Saccharomyces cerevisiae S288C: one gene and its partners. The protein of the gene in region 1 purifies or fractionates together with the protein of each later gene. This does not show direct contact. Each region holds a gene or a part of one and is shown in the gene's direction. Other genes may lie near its edges.

Region 1 (4,984 bases):
TTTTTAAAATAGATAGCTTTTGTTATCTTTGTTTCTATGTTGTAATATCCCAGTTTGTCATATTTTTAATACTCCTCGTGTAACAACAAATTAAAAAAAAATAAATACTTAAATTAATCAAGTTAAATAAACTAATCGAATCAAACAAACAATTTATTATAAAATTATGTTTTTTCATGAATAGGAATGTGTAAGTTGTTCAGTTCTTAAGAGGTATCTTATTTTTTAACATCTTTGAGATCTTCCTCCTCAAATATTTCCTTCTTGTAATATTTCCACTATTAGAGTTTCTATTATGTGCGGCTATCGCTCTTATTAGTGCATCATGAGGCCTTTCTATGTTTTGCGCAATCCGATTTATTGTACGGTCTAGTTTTTCATGAAAATTCGGGACATTTTCATTCCCAGAGCTATCATATTGCTCCATAGGATTTATTTCGTTTATCCAAGACATTTCTTTGTTTTTAAACTTTCTTAAGTTTTTATAGCTCTTCCAAAACTCCGAAGTTAAGGATTTATATTCCAATTCGTTTGATATGTTCTTATCTGAATGGATGAGCATCTCATATTTGGACATAGGAATACTTAACGAATGTAGATAAGGTACCACCTTGGTGATTCTTCCTTTAATTGACCAAGATATTTTGTAATCTCTAATATCATCAGAAATAATAGGCGTTAATGGAATAGTTTCAAAATTGTTCTGAGTGGGGGGATGCGTCTTTGAAGAATTGCAAACAAATACGAATCCAACAAATTTATTAGGAAAGTAAAGGGTTACATTACGCTGTGTATATTTCTGCACCCTTGCAAACTTGAAACATACTGAGCTGTTTTGGGAGATAGTATCATCCTCCTGGGCTGGAATGCATAGTGGTTCTGCCCAATCTAAATCCTTTTGAAAGGGTAGAATATGATTCCAAATTGGCTTTCCTCCTTTACAAAAGGTCACTTGAAGAAAATTATTGATTTGCAAGGGCGCTACCTGGTATTCATATTGTTTTTCAATTACAAAGCCTGTGTACAAAGTACTTTGTTTTTTGTATTGTTCGTACTCCTGCTTCAAGTTCTGTAACTTGTCACCTTTAAGAACATTTAAGAAGAACTCTGTCTGGAAATTTTGGTCTTCGAACTTACACACATCATGTCCAGGAAATGAACTTTTTCCTTGAACGAAAGTGCTCTTAAATAAGGTGTACGTTATAAAAAAGAAGAAAAATTCTAAAAAGTTGTACATTCATCCGAGGAGCACTTTGGATATTATAATCTATTTTTAGTTTTGTTGCTTTGTATTGAGCTGTATAAAAATCATTAGATCCACATTACTAATTATTGAATATGGACAATAATATCAAATATATTATTATCAAATTGATTATTTTGTGACGCGGCGTCAAATTTTAATCGCGTCTGACGAATGAGCGGGTAATAAACTGTCTTTTTTTCATGAATGAATCGAGCTGGCATTAGGAACATGTCGTGTAAGATTTGGGAGTAAATAACAGAAAGCTGCAATAAATGGTAGCTTGTAATGGTGAATTAAGACACCCAATCGAAACAATTATACGGACACGATGAAGTTGGATATAAAGGTATGTTACCAGAGCGCGTTTTGCCAATGCAATTGCGAACAAGCTCCGACAACTCCTATGATTAGGAAATGATCTCGTTCGCGAAGAATACAAAGCCTGCAAAAAGCAAACATTAAGATTAGTTACTAACAGGAAGATTTTTGAAATAAATGCATTTGCTCTTGGCATTTCCTTTATTTGACACTGTACATTTATGATAGAAAACTTTTAGTAATAGATCCGATCGAGTTAAAGGTATCGATTTCCATCCTACTGAGCCATGGGTTTTGACTACCTTGTACTCTGGTCGTGTTGAGCTTTGGAATTACGAAACACAAGTTGAAGTTAGATCCATCCAAGTTACGGAAACTCCTGTTAGAGCAGGTAAATTCATTGCAAGAAAGAATTGGATAATTGTTGGGAGTGATGATTTCAGGATCAGAGTCTTCAACTACAATACAGGTGAAAAAGTTGTTGATTTCGAAGCTCATCCAGACTATATCCGTTCCATTGCTGTACATCCAACAAAGCCTTATGTTTTATCCGGCAGTGATGATTTGACAGTCAAACTATGGAATTGGGAAAATAACTGGGCCTTAGAACAAACTTTTGAAGGTCACGAACACTTTGTCATGTGCGTCGCATTCAATCCAAAGGATCCTAGTACGTTTGCATCTGGGTGTTTGGACCGAACCGTTAAAGTTTGGTCATTGGGACAATCGACACCAAATTTCACGTTAACCACAGGACAAGAAAGAGGTGTGAATTATGTTGATTATTACCCGCTACCTGACAAGCCTTATATGATTACTGCGTCGGACGACTTAACCATCAAAATTTGGGATTACCAAACGAAGTCATGTGTAGCCACTCTAGAAGGTCACATGTCCAATGTTTCTTTTGCTGTTTTCCATCCAACTTTACCCATTATAATTTCTGGTTCCGAAGATGGCACTTTAAAGATATGGAATTCTTCCACTTACAAGGTAGAAAAGACTTTAAACGTTGGTTTAGAAAGAAGTTGGTGTATCGCTACCCATCCAACAGGACGTAAAAACTACATTGCATCCGGGTTTGATAATGGGTTTACCGTACTTTCCTTGGGAAATGATGAACCAACTTTATCACTTGACCCTGTCGGTAAGCTAGTATGGTCAGGTGGCAAAAATGCCGCAGCTTCAGACATTTTCACTGCCGTCATAAGAGGTAACGAAGAAGTTGAACAAGATGAACCATTATCTTTACAAACTAAGGAGCTGGGTTCCGTTGATGTTTTCCCTCAATCTTTAGCCCATTCTCCAAATGGTAGGTTTGTTACAGTTGTTGGGGATGGTGAATACGTTATTTATACGGCGTTGGCTTGGAGAAACAAAGCCTTCGGTAAATGTCAAGACTTTGTTTGGGGCCCCGACTCCAATAGTTATGCTTTAATTGATGAAACTGGGCAAATTAAATACTACAAAAACTTTAAAGAAGTCACATCATGGTCTGTCCCAATGCATTCTGCTATTGATAGATTATTTTCAGGTGCCTTGTTGGGTGTGAAGTCTGATGGCTTCGTCTATTTCTTCGATTGGGACAACGGTACGCTAGTTAGAAGAATTGATGTTAATGCTAAGGATGTCATTTGGTCCGATAACGGTGAGCTGGTGATGATTGTCAACACCAATAGTAATGGTGATGAAGCAAGTGGTTACACATTATTATTCAACAAGGATGCTTACCTTGAAGCAGCAAATAATGGCAATATCGACGATTCAGAAGGTGTTGATGAGGCTTTTGACGTATTGTATGAACTAAGTGAATCCATTACATCAGGCAAATGGGTTGGTGATGTCTTTATCTTTACCACAGCAACTAACAGGCTGAACTACTTCGTAGGTGGAAAGACTTATAATTTAGCCCATTACACAAAGGAAATGTATCTATTGGGCTATCTAGCACGTGATAATAAAGTATATTTAGCTGACAGAGAGGTCCATGTTTATGGTTACGAAATATCTCTAGAGGTGCTGGAGTTCCAAACATTGACTTTAAGAGGGGAAATTGAAGAAGCCATTGAAAATGTACTCCCAAATGTTGAGGGTAAGGACTCTTTAACAAAAATTGCTAGATTTCTGGAAGGTCAAGAGTATTATGAAGAAGCACTGAATATTTCCCCTGATCAAGATCAAAAATTTGAGCTAGCCTTAAAAGTCGGCCAACTTACGCTTGCTCGCGATTTGTTGACAGATGAAAGCGCCGAAATGAAATGGAGAGCCTTGGGTGATGCTTCCTTACAAAGGTTCAATTTTAAACTTGCTGTTGAAGCTTTCACAAATGCACATGATCTAGAATCTTTATTTCTATTGCACTCATCTTTTAATAACAAGGAGGGGTTGGTCACTTTAGCTAAAGATGCTGAAAGGGCCGGTAAATTCAATTTGGCTTTTAATGCATATTGGATCGCTGGCGATATACAAGGCGCTAAAGATCTTTTAATCAAGTCTCAAAGGTTTTCCGAAGCCGCTTTCCTTGGATCAACATACGGTTTAGGAGATGATGCAGTCAACGATATTGTTACAAAATGGAAGGAAAATTTGATACTCAACGGTAAGAATACTGTATCAGAAAGAGTTTGTGGGGCCGAAGGTTTACCAGGCTCTTCGAGTTCAGGAGATGCCCAACCACTCATTGACTTAGATTCCACTCCAGCCCCAGAACAAGCTGACGAAAACAAAGAAGCTGAAGTTGAGGACAGCGAGTTTAAAGAATCCAACTCAGAGGCAGTTGAAGCCGAAAAAAAAGAAGAGGAAGCTCCCCAGCAACAACAATCAGAACAACAGCCGGAGCAAGGAGAGGCAGTGCCGGAGCCTGTGGAAGAAGAGAGTTAACCACCTCATAGAAAGACAAATAAAGAACTAATCAACGAATGAGAAAACATCTTTAATGGATGGTAAACATATATATATACAGATGTACACTTTTTATTTTTATTGCGATAGGTGTGAAAATGAACGTGACTTGAAACTTTGCGCGCAAACAAATCATATTATGAATTACTAAACACGTCCAGTTTATCTACATTTCTTTTCTTCTTTAATCCGATATAATAGGTCTCCTTTGATTCGTCTCTAGAAGCGTCAGGCTTGAACTTATGAACGTTAGTGAAAACTGCCTGCATTCTTTTTTTAAATAGGTTTTCTTCTTCGCCGGTGTATAGTTTACAAACAAACGAACCTAATGGCCGTAATAAATCTATAGCCGTAACTAAGGCTGCGTCACATAAATCAATAGATTGGTAATGGTCTCTTATACTGACACCAGATGTATTAGCCATCCTAAAATAAGCTTGATTAGTAATGTTGTTCCAAAAACCGGTTGTTTGGGGCCAGGGTTCATACATATCACTTATAATCACATCAACTGGGAAT
Region 2 (3,914 bases), on another chromosome or scaffold:
TTTGGTAAGTTGTGCTCATTATTACTTCTTTTAGGGTTAGCTTTAGAACTTGAATATGGTACAAATGGTGAATTTTGTGTATGACTGATGGAGTCGTACGTTTGACTTTGACTTTTAATTGGCCGTTGAAGATTTGAATGTGTTTCAGGAATATATTTACTATTGGGTTCGATTTTTTTCAAGACGTGTTGTTGTTTAGTAAAGCTCTGCGGGTTCGAAGAAATTCTGGATTTCGAATTGTCCTTGTTATAACTGTTTTGAGCTTGTTGCTTAGGTGTCGCAACTGGCGTTGTATTTCGTGTCTTTGAATTCGTATTCACATTGTTTCTTGCAGTATTGCCATTGACTCTTGGATTTGGATTTCCGTAACCATGCAAGTTAGCTCTTCTATTAATCTTGATATTCCAGCCTTTACCACCATTCAAATCCATCCAGTCATAGTGTCCATCATCCTTTAAGTCGTTTAATCTCAAAGCGTCATCCATTAACGAGATTAAATAGTCATAATCCGGATCTTCGTCGAACTTCAAGGAACGTGCATATTTTAAATATGTGGCAAACTGATAAGGAATAGCATTATTCAATAAAAGATCATCAGGATTCAATTTCTGTTTAGTCATACCAATCTTTTCATACTTCAGTTTGTTGTTTGGTGCTTTCAAACCTTGCCATGGCAAGGATCCCCTCAAGAAATAAAAAAAAACGTGACCTAGCGATTCTAAATCATCCCTACGTGACTGTTCTCTTCCAAAATGAGTATTAATAGACATATATCTGGCGGTACCGCTCAATGATTTTCGTTCACGGTATGGTATATGTTGTTTCGTTCTTGGATCTCTATATTGTTTTGCCATACCAAAGTCAACCATGTATATTAAATTGGGATCATTATTAGAAGAGGAGGCACATGATTTAATGACTTTTCCTTCAGGTGAAATTCTTTGATATTGAGAAATTAAAAAGTTATCGGGTTTAATATCGCGATAGATTAAGTCGTGATCATGAATTGCTCTAACTCTATCAATCATTTGCTTGGCAACCATACAGGTTGTTTTCACTGAAAATTTTCTACCACACCACTCAAAGAGATCTTCCAATGATGGCCCTAGTAAATCGATAATCAAGATGTTGTGCATACCTTCTTGACCAAAATAATAAGCATGGGGAATTCCAACGCAGCCATTCAATATCCTATAGGCTCTAAATTCGTCACGCAACTGGGGTGCGTCCGAATGTCGCGGTTCGAATTTAATTGCGACTGGCTCGTTCGCCATTATTATACTAGAGTCCCTCTTGCTACCGGTCTGCGCTTGACAAGAATGAAGAATGTTCTCTCCCTCAAATATTACTCCGAAAGACCCTTCGCCAATCTTAGGTCCTACAGCATAATGAATACCTACAATGTGTTGTGAAGATCGTTGGGACATCTTTCCTTATCGTCCTTTTACACTTTTTCTTCAGAATGAGATACCACTTTTGATTAGTGGACCGTAGCACGTATACCCTTAAATAGCAGACAATTCTTGCAAAACGGATTTCCTTCTTTTTTAAAAAACAGCAAATAATACCAGTACCTAGATGTTACGAATGCTGTTCCCCTGTTACTCTCTAAGCTGCCCTTTTCAATTCACCTATAGAATGTTTAAAATTTTACTTTCAATATTGGTATTATCTATGACACAAAAGGAAAAGTAACATCGTTTGGTCATTTTCGACGACACGGTAAAGTTTCGAAAAAAAAAAAAAAAAAAGAAAACAACTATTCTTCGTAAACACGATTTAGCTGGCATTTTATAAAAGGAGATCAAGGCGATAGCAAAGAAAGGGTATTTGTTAAGTACTTGTTGATCCGGTCTTCTTGAGCAATTTAGTATACACATAGCGACAATGAGTAACGATGAAGGAGAAACATTTGCCACGGAACAGACTACTCAACAAGTTTTTCAGAAGCTAGGTAGCAACATGGAAAATCGAGTTTGTTTTGATTGTGGTAACAAGAATCCTACTTGGACTTCGGTACCTTTTGGTGTGATGCTGTGTATTCAATGCTCTGCTGTGCATAGAAACATGGGTGTTCATATCACCTTTGTAAAGTCTTCTACATTAGATAAATGGACAATTAACAATTTAAGAAGGTTTAAGTTGGGTGGGAACCATAAGGCTCGTGATTTTTTCTTAAAGAACAATGGGAAACAGCTACTAAATACAGCAAATGTTGACGCGAAAACAAAATATACGAGCCCTGTTGCTAAGAAATATAAGATACATCTCGACAAGAAGGTTCAAAAGGATATGGAGTTATACCCATCAGAATTAGTCTTGAACGGTCAAGATTCTTCGGACTCACCGTTGGACACCGATTCAGACGCTTCCAGGTCGACTTCCAAAGAAAATAGTGTTGACGATTTTTTCTCTAATTGGCAAAAACCAAGCTCCAATTCCAGTTCTAAACTCAATGTAAATACAGGCTCTCTCGCCCCAAAAAACAACACCACAGGCAGCACACCCAAGACCACTGTCACTAAAACGAGAAGTTCCATCTTAACGGCTAGCAGAAAGAAACCGGTATTAAACTCGCAAGATAAAAAGAAACATTCAATTTTGTCTTCGTCAAGAAAGCCCACTAGACTAACCGCAAAGAAAGTCGACAAATCACAGGCAGAAGACTTGTTTGATCAATTTAAAAAAGAGGCTCAACAAGAAAAGGAGGACGAGTTCACTAATTCGTCTTCTAGCACCAAAATTAGACAAAATGATTACGATTCCCAATTTATGAATAACAGTAAAGGCAACAATAATAACAGTATAGATGATATTAATACCCAGCCTGATGAATTCAATGATTTTTTAAATGACACTTCAAACAGCTTCGACACAACTAGAAAAGAACAGCAAGATACTTTAACACCCAAGTTTGCCAAATTGGGATTTGGTATGACCATGAATGACGCCAATGATTTGGCAAAGCAACAAAAAGAATCTCAGAAAATAGCTCAGGGACCAAGATATACGGGCAGAATCGCGGAAAGGTACGGCACACAAAAAGCTATATCATCTGATCAATTATTTGGTCGTGGCTCATTTGATGAAGCAGCAAACAGGGAAGCGCATGACAAGTTGAAAACATTTGACAATGCTACATCAATTTCCTCTTCTTCATACTTTGGAGAAGATAAAGAAGTGGATGAATTTGGTAATCCCATCAATAGTAGTGGAAGTGGAGCAGGGAATTTTGATGGCCGTAATTCTAATAACGGTTTCATCGATTTTAATGCCTCCGCAGATGATGAATTGCAGATGTTGAGAGACGTTGTAGAACAGGGTGCTGAAAAACTCGGTAGTTATTTAAGGGACTACTTAAGAAAATAAGTTTAATTTTCTCTTTAATTGAATTTTTTTTTTTTCATTGTTATCATTGTTTTTTATTCTCATTTTTCATTATATGATAATTATATTTATGGTACATAGAAACGGTTGTATATGCATTGTACGTGCGTTTATTCTTATTCTTCATCCCCCCTTATCTTAGTTTAAGGTTTCTAAAATCGAAAGTTTCATGTGCGTATGAAGCGGTTGAAAATGCAGACGAGGTAGCATTTGGTTCATTAGCATTATAAACACTTTGCTTTAAAGAAGGTAAGTTATTTTCGACATCTCTGTTTCTAATTGCTTCATCGTCCACATAGGGAGAGTCTATACCCACTTTCCAAAACGAGTTCATTACTTGATTACCATATTCGTTAGAAACACTTGCATTTAAACTATCACTTGCCGCAAGGGCGTAGTAGTGCGCATCCTGTTGCATTTCTTCGCTCTTTTCCTCTGCTGGCCTTGAATTCTTGTCGTGCCAGCGCGATAAGCCCATGTTACTATATTGTCAATATGTGAGTCCCTCGTTCACTATGAGACCTAGC
Region 3 (5,174 bases), on another chromosome or scaffold:
CGTTCATCTTTTAAAACTCCCAAGTTTTGACAAATTTGCGAGTGTGTGTGTTTCTGCTGATCTTGACGAGATTAAACTTTGTTCCTGAAGCAACAACGACAGCAACTGAACATCCTCTGAATAAGTTAATATGTTTTCCGCTCAAAAGCCAATATATGGCAATGGAGCAGGCGTGAACATGGGTGGTGGTGGTCCTTCAACTAATAATCCAGGATCTATGTCCATGCCTGGGGTTCCAACTTCAATGGGTCCAGGCATGAATCAACAAATTCCAAGTGGAGGCCCCATGCTAATGGGCAATACTCCGAATAATAATAATAGCAATGAAAATGGCGAGAACAACGGCAATAACGGCAATAACGGCGGTAACGATGCTAACGCAACTCGAAACAATCCCAACATGGTCAATAATAGAGGCGCAGTGCATGCTCTAGATGATCCCAATGTATACCACTGGATTTGTCAATTGACCTACGGCCCTCAAAAGGAACAAGCACTGCTTGAATTAGGTCGCAAAAGAGAACAGTTTGATGACCTTGCCGTTGTGCTTTGGTCTTCCTTTGGTGTAATGACCTCATTGCTGAACGAAATCATTTCCGTATATCCCATGCTGCAACCTCAGATGCTCTCTAACAATCTATCAAATCGTGTATGCAACGCTCTAGTTCTTCTACAGTGTGTTGCATCTCACCCAGAGACAAAACATCTCTTTTTACAGGCCCATATTCCTCTCTTTCTTTTCCCCTTCCTAAATACTACCTCCAGGCAAAGAACTTTTGAGTACTTGAGATTGACTTCATTAGGTGTGATAGGCGCATTGGTCAAAAATGACTCACAAGACGTAATAACGTTTTTGCTAAGAACCGATATCGTGCCGTTATGCCTAAGGATCATGGAATCTTCTTCTGAGCTTTCCAAGACAGTCGCCATTTTCATTTTACAGAAAATCCTACTAGATGACGTTGGATTGCAATACATCTGTGCCACCTTGGAAAGGTTCTACGCCGTAACTAATGTCTTAAAAGATATGGTTGAGCACTTGACCGTGAGCACACCACCGGGACGACTACTGAAACATATCATTAGATGCTACTTAAGATTAAGCGACGATCTCGAAGCACGCAGGCTATTGAAAATAGTCTTACCTGCCAAACTGAGAGATAACACTTTTACGGAAGTACTAAGAGACGACGTCGGGTCCAAGAGATGTCTGGCACAATTGCTACTGACATTAAACGAAGAAACCTCATGATGCATCCCCATAGATATATTACTGTTTTTCTCTTTCTATTTTCCTGTATTGTTTTAACCTTGCCTTTTTGTTTTAGTTTCACTTCCTCACCTCTCCTAATTTTGTATAGTTATATTTATATGCATGAAATGTATAAAGTCCACTCATATTTCAGAATGGTTTAAGTTAAGTGCCAGAAGGTTCTTCTGTACTATTACTATTACCCATTTTTCATCCTATCACCCGGAATGTACCCCTTGTGTCATTCACTACGACGCCACGAACCACGATTCTATTTTTTTCGAAATCTAAAGGTTTCGTCAAGATCAATGAAATATACATAGGCGTTTTTTTGGATACGAGTTGCATTGTTGAGAACACAATTCTTTACAAATAAGTGCAAGGGAGGAATTGTGTGTGCTCATTACCAACGTACTTCTTCAGTTATTCTGCTAAACCCGTTTTTTTGTTCTTAGCTTCATCCAGGTGAGCCCGCAAACATTACAGAACGACGTATAATACAAAATAACTAAACAAATACGGATAGGACAAAAGCCAAGAAGCGATACTAAATCACAGAGCGAATCAACATGTCTGCACATACTTACAAAAAGTTTGAAAACTCGACCTCGGGCGATTTACCTGATAAAATGACCATTTATCAGGATTGTATGAACACGTTTAACGAATCACCTGTCAATTCCAAGAGATGTCGTTTATTGATTTCTCGCTTGCTGAGACTCTTGGCCCAGGGCGAAACCTTCCCACAGAATGAAGCAACTGCATTATTTTTCTCTATCTCCAAATTATTTCAACACCAGAACGATCCTTTAAGGCAGGCTGTTTATTTGGCAATCAAGGAATTGAGTGGCATTTCGGAGGATGTGTTGATGGCAACCTCTTCAATCATGAAGGACGTTCAAAACGGTTCCGATTTGATTAAGCCTGACGCTATTAGATCGCTGACTTATGTCTTGGATGAATCTACTGCTTTTTCCGCTGAAAGGTTATTAAAAAGTGCCGTGGTAAGTAGACATCCTTCAATATCCTCAGCAGCATTATGTACTTCTTATCATTTGCTGCCCATTTCAGAAGTCACTATCAGAAGATTCACCAATGAAACTCAAGAAGCTGTTTTGGATTTGAAACAATTTCCAAATCAACACGGTAATAGCGAATATTATCCAAACTCCACTTATATTTCTCAATATCATGCTCTTGGGTTGCTTTATCAACTGAAGAAAACTGATAAAATGGCGTTACTAAAATTGGTTAGACATTTCTCTGAAAACAATTCTATGAAAAATCAATTGGCCAAGGTAGAATTGGTCAAGATTGTCAACGATTTGATTTATAGGGATCCTCAATTATTTAGTCAATTCAGGCCACTTTTGTCTGATTGGCTATCCAACAAGTTCGAATCTGTTCAGTTGGAAACGGCGAAATTGATTACTTCTTTCGCTACTCGCAATTCCCGCTTAGTGGCTCCCGAGTTATATGCGGCAGCTATCAGTGCTTTACAGTCCTTACTGACCGTTCCTCGTGTTTCTTCTAGATTCGCTGCATTGAGAATCTTAAATAGAATATCCATGGTTTCACCAGAAAAGATTGTTGTTTGTAATCCTGAACTAGAATCTTTAATTAATGATTCTAATAGAAACATTTCTACTTATGCAATCACCACTTTATTGAAGACAGGAACTTCCAAAAATATTTCATCTCTGATTTCGACTATTACTAATTTTATCCATGATGTCAGTGATGACTTTAAGATCATTATTATTGACGCCGTTCGTACGTTGTCTTTGAACTTCCCACAGGAATGGAAGTCAATTTTGAACTTCTTAATCGATGTTTTGAAAAATAGTGAAGGTGGATTCAAATTTAAAAACAGTATTGTCGAAGCATTAATCGATATTGTTTCATTTGTTCCACAGTCTAAAGAACTCGCCTTAGAAAACTTGTGTGATTTCATCGAGGATTGTGAATTCAACGAAATACTAGTGAGAATACTACATCTTTTGGGTAAAGAAGGTCCATCTGCCCCAAATCCATCATTATATGTTAGACATATTTATAACAGAGTGGTGTTGGAAAATTCTATTATTAGATCTGCTGCCGTTGTAGCTTTATCTAAGTTTGCTTTGACGAAGAACGATCCTACCTTATATGAGTCAATCATAAGTTTGTTAAAGAGAATCGCTAATGATAAAGACGATGAAGTCAGAGACAGAGCCACCATTGCACTAGAATTCATTGATTCGGCTAGGAATAAAGATGATGTTATAGCACAAAATCTAATCGAATCCAAATATTTTTACGATATTCCATCATTAGAGTCAAAATTAAGTTCTTACATTTCCTCAAATACTGATTCATTTGCAACTGCATTTGATGTGAATCAAGTTCGTAAGTTTACTGAGGATGAAATGAAGGCAATAAATCTGAAGAGAAAGCAAGAACAAATTTTCAATCAAAAGTCTGAAACCACTTTGGATACTACACCAGAGGCAGAGAGTGTTCCAGAAAAAAGAGCTGACGCTAATTCATTTGCTGGTCCAAACTTGGACGACCACCAAGAAGATCTACTAGCTACTAAGTACGCTGACGAATTGCTATCCATTGAACAAATTAAACCATTTGGTCAATTAGTAAATAGTTCTAGGGCTATCTCATTAACTGAGCCAGAAGCAGAATTCGTTGTACGTGGTGTCAAACATCTCTTCAAAGACAATGTTGTTTTACAATTTAATATTACGAATACTCTGACGGATATTGCCCTAGACAATGTTTCTGTAGTCTGTACCCCTGAAATTTCTGATGAAGCTGAATTAGAAGAGCTATTCACCCTACAAGTGGACAGATTATTACCATCCGAGGAAGCAGCTTGTTACGTTGCATTCAAAAAACTTGATGAAATTGTAATGGAAGGTTTCTTGAACAACTTAACATTCACTACAAAAGAAATAAACCCTGACACTAATGAGCCATTTGATGGTGATGAAGGTTTCCAAGATGAATATGAAATTGACTCGATTTTCTTGAATGCTGGTGATTATGTTAAGAGTTCTTTCACTGGTAACTTCTCCGCTACATTTGATGAGTTGCCATGCGAAGAAGTTGCTGTTTTCAACATTCAAGAAGATTTATCCATACAAGAAGTAGTAGATAAGATTATTTTGAACAGTAGCTGCTTACCGGTGGAAAGTACCCAATTTGCTCCAAGTGATTCAAACTCCCACACCTTGAAATTATTTGGTAAGAGTGCTTTAACTGGATCTAAAGTAGCCCTACAGATTAAGATGATCAAGAGTTCGAAAGGTCTTGCTTTGAAAGTTCATGGTAAAGGTGAAGACAGCTTATTATGCTCTGATCTGGTGAATGGTCTAATGCAGTAAGCTGTGAAATTTTATTTCAGTTAATCCCTTCTTTTGTTATCAATAGTATTAAAAGAAATGCGTCAGCTTTAGCAAGCGTGCATGCAAATAAGGGAATGAACAGCAAGAACAATAATAAACCAAAAAAATCACGGATAGAATATGACGGATCATCACCACACGAAGAATAAATTATGTAATCTTTGTATAAACAAAATTTTTAAAGAAAAATACTATAATAGTTTGACAAGAGAAAACGAAATGGAAGAAACAGGACAACAGGGCAGAAAAAAGTTGACATTATGCAATTGATGAAAGAAGAAGAAGAAAAAAAACAAAAAAAAAGCACTAGTCTGACCAGGCATATTGTAAAAGGCTGCAGACCCTTGAACGCACTACACTTTTCACTGTATTCCGTTACCAACATTACTGTTTGACAGCGATGGATGCTGATGAATTGGAATTGAAAGGTCATTTGAAAAAATTGAAAAAAGAAGAATTGCTTAGAAGGAAACAGTTAAAAGAGAGTAATCTTCAGAAAAGAGAGCTTGAATATAATAATGCCT
Region 4 (5,208 bases), on another chromosome or scaffold:
CAAGTAACGGAAATTTAGTACAATCAGATCATCTAAAAGAATTTTCTTCGAATCTGGATGATGGGGATGATAAATTTTCCTTTAGTACATCGGCTAGTGGTAAATCCACCAAAAGCCTTCAGCAAGTTTCTAAAGACGAATCTAGTGGTTTTAAAGCTGCACATTTTGATTTTGCATATAAATCAAATGAGCACCTTGGGAGTGATGGAAGTATTGCAAGCGCCAGAAAGCCTCTGCGGATAACTAATGAGATTGATAGCGGTTCTTCCAACGAGGATGATGATGATGGTCTTCAGGAAAAAGGTTTTGTGGATAGTGAAAGTAAAGCATTTATAAATTACGCAAGTGATCAAGGCTCATCTATAAAAAATGACGTCTCAACACAAGAGCCTGAGTTACCAAGTCATCGTAGAATATTTAGGGTGGTTAATGAAGATCGCCCTAGTTTCTATTTAAATAGTGTAAACGATACGGGCAGTCTAACCGACAAGCATTCTTTTGACACTGCATCATCTGGTGAGTATGATGCCAAGTCAAACTTCTCTAGCCAGTCAGGACTTTCTATATCAAAAGGCTCTAAATCAACTGTTTTGGCTGCTCTTGACTCAAACGGAAACACAAAATCATCAAATAAAACATCCGAGTTAAACAGTTTAAACTCCATTTCAGAAAGTTTAGTGCCGGCTGCTCACTCGTTCAATGAACACACAGTTACTATCCCTGCAACGGTGGATTTACCAAATCCGGTACATGATGCCCCAAGCGAAAGATCTGTCAAATGTTCACCGTTAACATCTGTCGTATCGAACAAATCGGAAAAGTCCGTGCCTTTGGTTTCTAGTTACGTAGAAGAACTGCGACTAAAGTATTACAAGACTTCTAACTTTTTACAAGCGCCTCCTAACTTGCCGGTTGCTCTAAAACAAAAAAATAATTTGATTCAACCCAAGAATATTAAGGTCAAGTTGAGGACAAGTTCTAAGCAAATTGGTATCAAGCATGGTAAAGTTAAACAGAAATTACTGGCGTTGGAGACAAGAAATGAAGAATCAGATGGAACCGCTACAGGGCTGAAAAATAAAATCAATGTTGACCACACAAAGGAATTCCATAAATTGTTAGGGAAGGAAAATGAAACTGGCTCTATTTCAAAAAAAGAAGGCACTGACGCAGAACAAGCCGAAGACTACCTCAAGGACATACCCGGTGATGAAGCATATAACAGTGATGATATAATGGCGCCTTTACGAGAAAAAAGAGGGCAAAACGGTTCTGTTGATTCCGTGTCAAGATCTAACACGGTAGTCAGCTACTACACAAGGTCTCAGAACAGAATGAGAAGTGGAACACTGGATAATGATTACGTGAACAGACAAAAGCTTCCTACACATATCTCTCTTCAAGATTATCGTGATGCTAATGCTAGAAGTAATATATCGCGTCAGGACTCTGTCTCCACAACGAACTCTGATGTGGTAGACCTCAGCTATTCTCTGGGGCATGGCTTGCGTGTGGCAAACCCTGATTCAGACCCAGAATGATATCCTTCTCTGTAGTTTTGTAGATGTCATATATGTACGTTTATGGAACAGCATTTTAGAAAAGTATTACCCAGCTTATCACTTCGTTTTTTTTTTCTTTCCGTGTACTCGCTACACGTAGAAAGAAATCAGAAAACAACAGCTCGACAAGTGAAATTTGACGTTCATTAAGACTCAGTTAAGATTGCCTTGAGAATAAACAAAAGTAATCACAGTTAACTATTGAACAAGAGTGCACCTATGACTTCACTTTCTTCACAGCCAGCGTACACGTTGGTTTTCGATCCTTCTCCGAGTATGGAGACTTACTCGAGTACCGATTTTCAGAAAGCTCTTGAAAAGGGATCTGATGAACAAAAAATTGACACGATGAAATCAATTTTAGTTACAATGCTGGAAGGAAATCCAATGCCTGAATTGTTGATGCACATAATAAGATTTGTCATGCCTTCTAAAAATAAGGAATTAAAAAAGCTTTTGTACTTCTACTGGGAAATTGTTCCCAAACTAGCTGAAGATGGAAAATTGAGACATGAAATGATTCTTGTCTGTAATGCCATTCAACACGATTTGCAACATCCTAATGAATATATTAGAGGTAACACATTAAGGTTTTTAACGAAATTGAGAGAGGCCGAACTCTTAGAACAGATGGTTCCCTCTGTCTTAGCGTGCTTGGAATACCGTCATGCATATGTTCGTAAGTATGCAATCCTAGCAGTTTTCTCCATTTTCAAGGTCAGCGAACATTTACTTCCCGATGCTAAAGAAATCATCAATTCGTTCATAGTAGCTGAAACTGATCCAATATGTAAAAGAAATGCATTTATTGGGTTAGCTGAATTAGATCGTGAAAATGCCTTACACTATTTAGAGAACAATATTGCTGATATAGAAAACCTAGACCCTTTATTACAAGCTGTCTTTGTTCAATTTATCAGACAAGATGCAAACAGGACCCCTGCTTTGAAAGCCCAATATATCGAATTATTGATGGAACTGCTTTCGACCACGACTTCCGATGAAGTCATCTTCGAGACCGCATTAGCCCTAACTGTGTTGTCTGCCAATCCAAATGTCTTGGTTCCTGCGGTTAACAAATTGATTGACTTGGCCGTCAAGGTTTCTGATAATAACATTAAGTTAATTGTTCTAGACCGTATTCAAGACATCAATGCTAATAACGTAGGTGCTTTGGAAGAGTTAACCCTGGATATTTTGAGAGTCTTGAATGCAGAAGATTTAGACGTTCGTTCAAAGGCGCTTGATATTTCAATGGACTTGGCCACATCCAGAAATGCTGAAGATGTTGTTCAGCTTTTGAAGAAAGAGCTGCAAACAACCGTAAATAACCCAGATCAAGACAAGGCAATGCAGTACAGACAATTGTTAATAAAAACTATTCGTACCGTGGCTGTAAACTTTGTAGAAATGGCAGCAAGTGTTGTTTCGCTATTATTAGATTTCATCGGTGATTTAAACTCGGTTGCCGCCAGTGGTATCATTGCCTTTATCAAAGAAGTGATCGAAAAATACCCACAACTTAGAGCCAATATCCTTGAAAACATGGTTCAAACGCTAGACAAAGTGAGATCTGCTAAAGCTTACCGCGGTGCATTATGGATTATGGGTGAGTATGCTGAAGGAGAAAGTGAGATACAACATTGTTGGAAGCACATTCGTAACAGCGTAGGTGAAGTTCCTATCCTTCAATCAGAAATCAAAAAGTTAACACAAAACCAAGAACACACCGAAGAAAATGAGGTTGACGCTACCGCCAAGCCAACTGGTCCAGTTATTCTACCAGACGGTACGTATGCCACTGAAAGCGCTTTCGATGTGAAGACTTCTCAAAAGTCAGTTACCGATGAAGAACGTGATTCTAGACCTCCAATTCGCCGGTTTGTTTTAAGTGGTGATTTCTACACAGCTGCCATTCTGGCCAACACCATCATTAAACTTGTTTTAAAATTCGAAAACGTTTCCAAGAACAAAACTGTCATCAATGCTCTAAAGGCGGAAGCTTTACTAATTTTAGTTAGTATTGTAAGAGTGGGTCAAAGCTCTTTGGTGGAGAAAAAAATTGATGAAGATTCTTTAGAGAGAGTTATGACATCTATTTCTATTTTATTGGATGAAGTTAATCCTGAGGAAAAGAAGGAAGAAGTTAAACTTCTGGAGGTTGCATTCCTGGACACCACCAAATCCTCATTCAAGAGACAAATTGAAATTGCAAAGAAGAACAAGCATAAGAGAGCATTAAAAGACAGTTGCAAAAACATCGAACCAATTGATACGCCGATTTCTTTCAGGCAATTTGCTGGTGTGGATTCTACTAATGTGCAAAAAGATAGTATTGAAGAAGATTTACAACTGGCAATGAAAGGAGATGCAATCCACGCTACTAGCAGCTCTAGTATTTCGAAGCTGAAGAAGATAGTACCTTTATGTGGCTTTTCTGATCCAGTTTACGCCGAGGCTTGTATTACAAACAATCAATTTGACGTCGTATTAGATGTTCTTCTTGTTAATCAAACGAAAGAAACATTGAAAAACCTACATGTGCAATTTGCAACTCTTGGTGATTTGAAGATTATTGACACACCACAGAAGACCAACGTGATTCCTCATGGCTTCCACAAATTCACTGTTACTGTCAAAGTTTCCTCTGCTGACACAGGTGTCATTTTCGGTAATATTATTTATGATGGTGCGCATGGTGAAGATGCTCGTTATGTTATTTTAAACGACGTTCATGTTGACATTATGGATTATATCAAACCAGCCACTGCTGACGATGAACATTTCCGTACCATGTGGAATGCATTTGAGTGGGAGAACAAAATATCGGTCAAATCACAACTACCAACATTGCATGCTTATTTGAGAGAACTGGTCAAGGGAACTAATATGGGTATTCTAACACCATCAGAGTCGTTGGGAGAAGATGATTGTAGGTTCTTAAGTTGTAATCTGTATGCGAAGTCGTCCTTTGGTGAAGATGCCCTAGCCAACTTGTGTATCGAAAAGGATTCCAAAACCAATGATGTCATAGGTTATGTTCGTATCCGATCAAAGGGACAAGGTTTGGCTCTGTCCCTAGGTGACAGAGTGGCATTGATTGCTAAGAAGACCAATAAACTTGCTCTCACTCATGTTTGAACCACCCTGAGCTGATGCAATGTAAGTTATAATGTCAAAGGAGATAAGAATAAAACTTAAAAAATTCGAAAAGAAATAAAAAAATAAGGAAAATCTTTAAATAGATTTTAATTGCGTAGGAATCTTTGTTCTCATTTTTAAACAAGTATTCACTTTTATGTACATTTTCTTTCCTAAAAATCTTTATACAGAGTTGAGTTGTGAGTTGTGTAAGAGACGTCCAATTTTATAACAATTTGTAGACATCTCAGTGCCCCAAAGAGAACTATATGATTGAAAAATGGAGAGAGATAGTATCTTGTACAGTTTATATATTTACATGACGAATGGGAAATTATATATGCCCTTTGCCTTTCTGCCATAGAGCATGGCTAACTGGCCAGGACCATGAGATTGTATTCTTATTTCTCCTCTCCGAAAAATGGGAACTGGAACCCACTCAACAAAGTTCTCGCCTGGTAATCTAATTGAGCTGAGGTGTTTATATTTATGTGCATACCAAAAG

The links.
Region 2: the proteins of SEC27 (region 1) and GLO3 purify together in Saccharomyces cerevisiae (affinity purification with mass spectrometry; 4 studies listed by BioGRID, with this or other methods). This does not show direct contact.
Region 3: the proteins of SEC27 (region 1) and SEC21 purify together in Saccharomyces cerevisiae (affinity purification with mass spectrometry; 6 studies listed by BioGRID). This does not show direct contact.
Region 4: the proteins of SEC27 (region 1) and SEC26 purify together in Saccharomyces cerevisiae (affinity purification with mass spectrometry; 6 studies listed by BioGRID). This does not show direct contact.

What each region holds. Positions count from the first base shown.
Region 1 is NC_001139.9:248,295-253,278, forward strand, and holds SEC27 (coatomer subunit beta'), read left to right. Parts: upstream 1-1,574; coding exon 1,575-1,592; intron 1,593-1,792; coding exon 1,793-4,444; downstream 4,445-4,984. Other genes in the region: YGL138C (uncharacterized protein), read right to left, coding at 200-1,237; MRM2 (21S rRNA (uridine2791-2'-O) methyltransferase), read right to left, coding at 4,603-4,984. UniProt on the Saccharomyces cerevisiae protein: The coatomer is a cytosolic protein complex that binds to dilysine motifs and reversibly associates with Golgi non-clathrin-coated vesicles, which further mediate biosynthetic protein transport from the ER, via the Golgi up to the trans Golgi network.
Region 2 is NC_001137.3:402,326-406,239, reverse strand, and holds GLO3 (ADP-ribosylation factor GTPase-activating protein), read left to right. Parts: upstream 1-1,887; coding exon 1,888-3,369; downstream 3,370-3,914. Other genes in the region: casein kinase YCK3, read right to left, coding at 1-1,427; YER121W (uncharacterized protein), read right to left, coding at 3,521-3,865. UniProt on the Saccharomyces cerevisiae protein: GTPase-activating protein for the ADP ribosylation factor (ARF) family. Involved in retrograde vesicular transport from the Golgi to the endoplasmic reticulum.
Region 3 is NC_001146.8:90,173-95,346, forward strand, and holds SEC21 (coatomer subunit gamma), read left to right. Parts: upstream 1-1,821; coding exon 1,822-4,629; downstream 4,630-5,174. Other genes in the region: CCR4-NOT core subunit CAF40, read left to right, coding at 131-1,252; U2 snRNP complex subunit CUS2, read left to right, coding at 5,051-5,174. UniProt on the Saccharomyces cerevisiae protein: The coatomer is a cytosolic protein complex that binds to dilysine motifs and reversibly associates with Golgi non-clathrin-coated vesicles, which further mediate biosynthetic protein transport from the ER, via the Golgi up to the trans Golgi network.
Region 4 is NC_001136.10:937,390-942,597, reverse strand, and holds SEC26 (coatomer subunit beta), read left to right. Parts: upstream 1-1,781; coding exon 1,782-4,703; downstream 4,704-5,208. Other genes in the region: YDR239C (uncharacterized protein), read left to right, coding at 1-1,541; mitochondrial 54S ribosomal protein uL5m MRPL7, read right to left, coding at 5,105-5,208. UniProt on the Saccharomyces cerevisiae protein: The coatomer is a cytosolic protein complex that binds to dilysine motifs and reversibly associates with Golgi non-clathrin-coated vesicles, which further mediate biosynthetic protein transport from the ER, via the Golgi up to the trans Golgi network.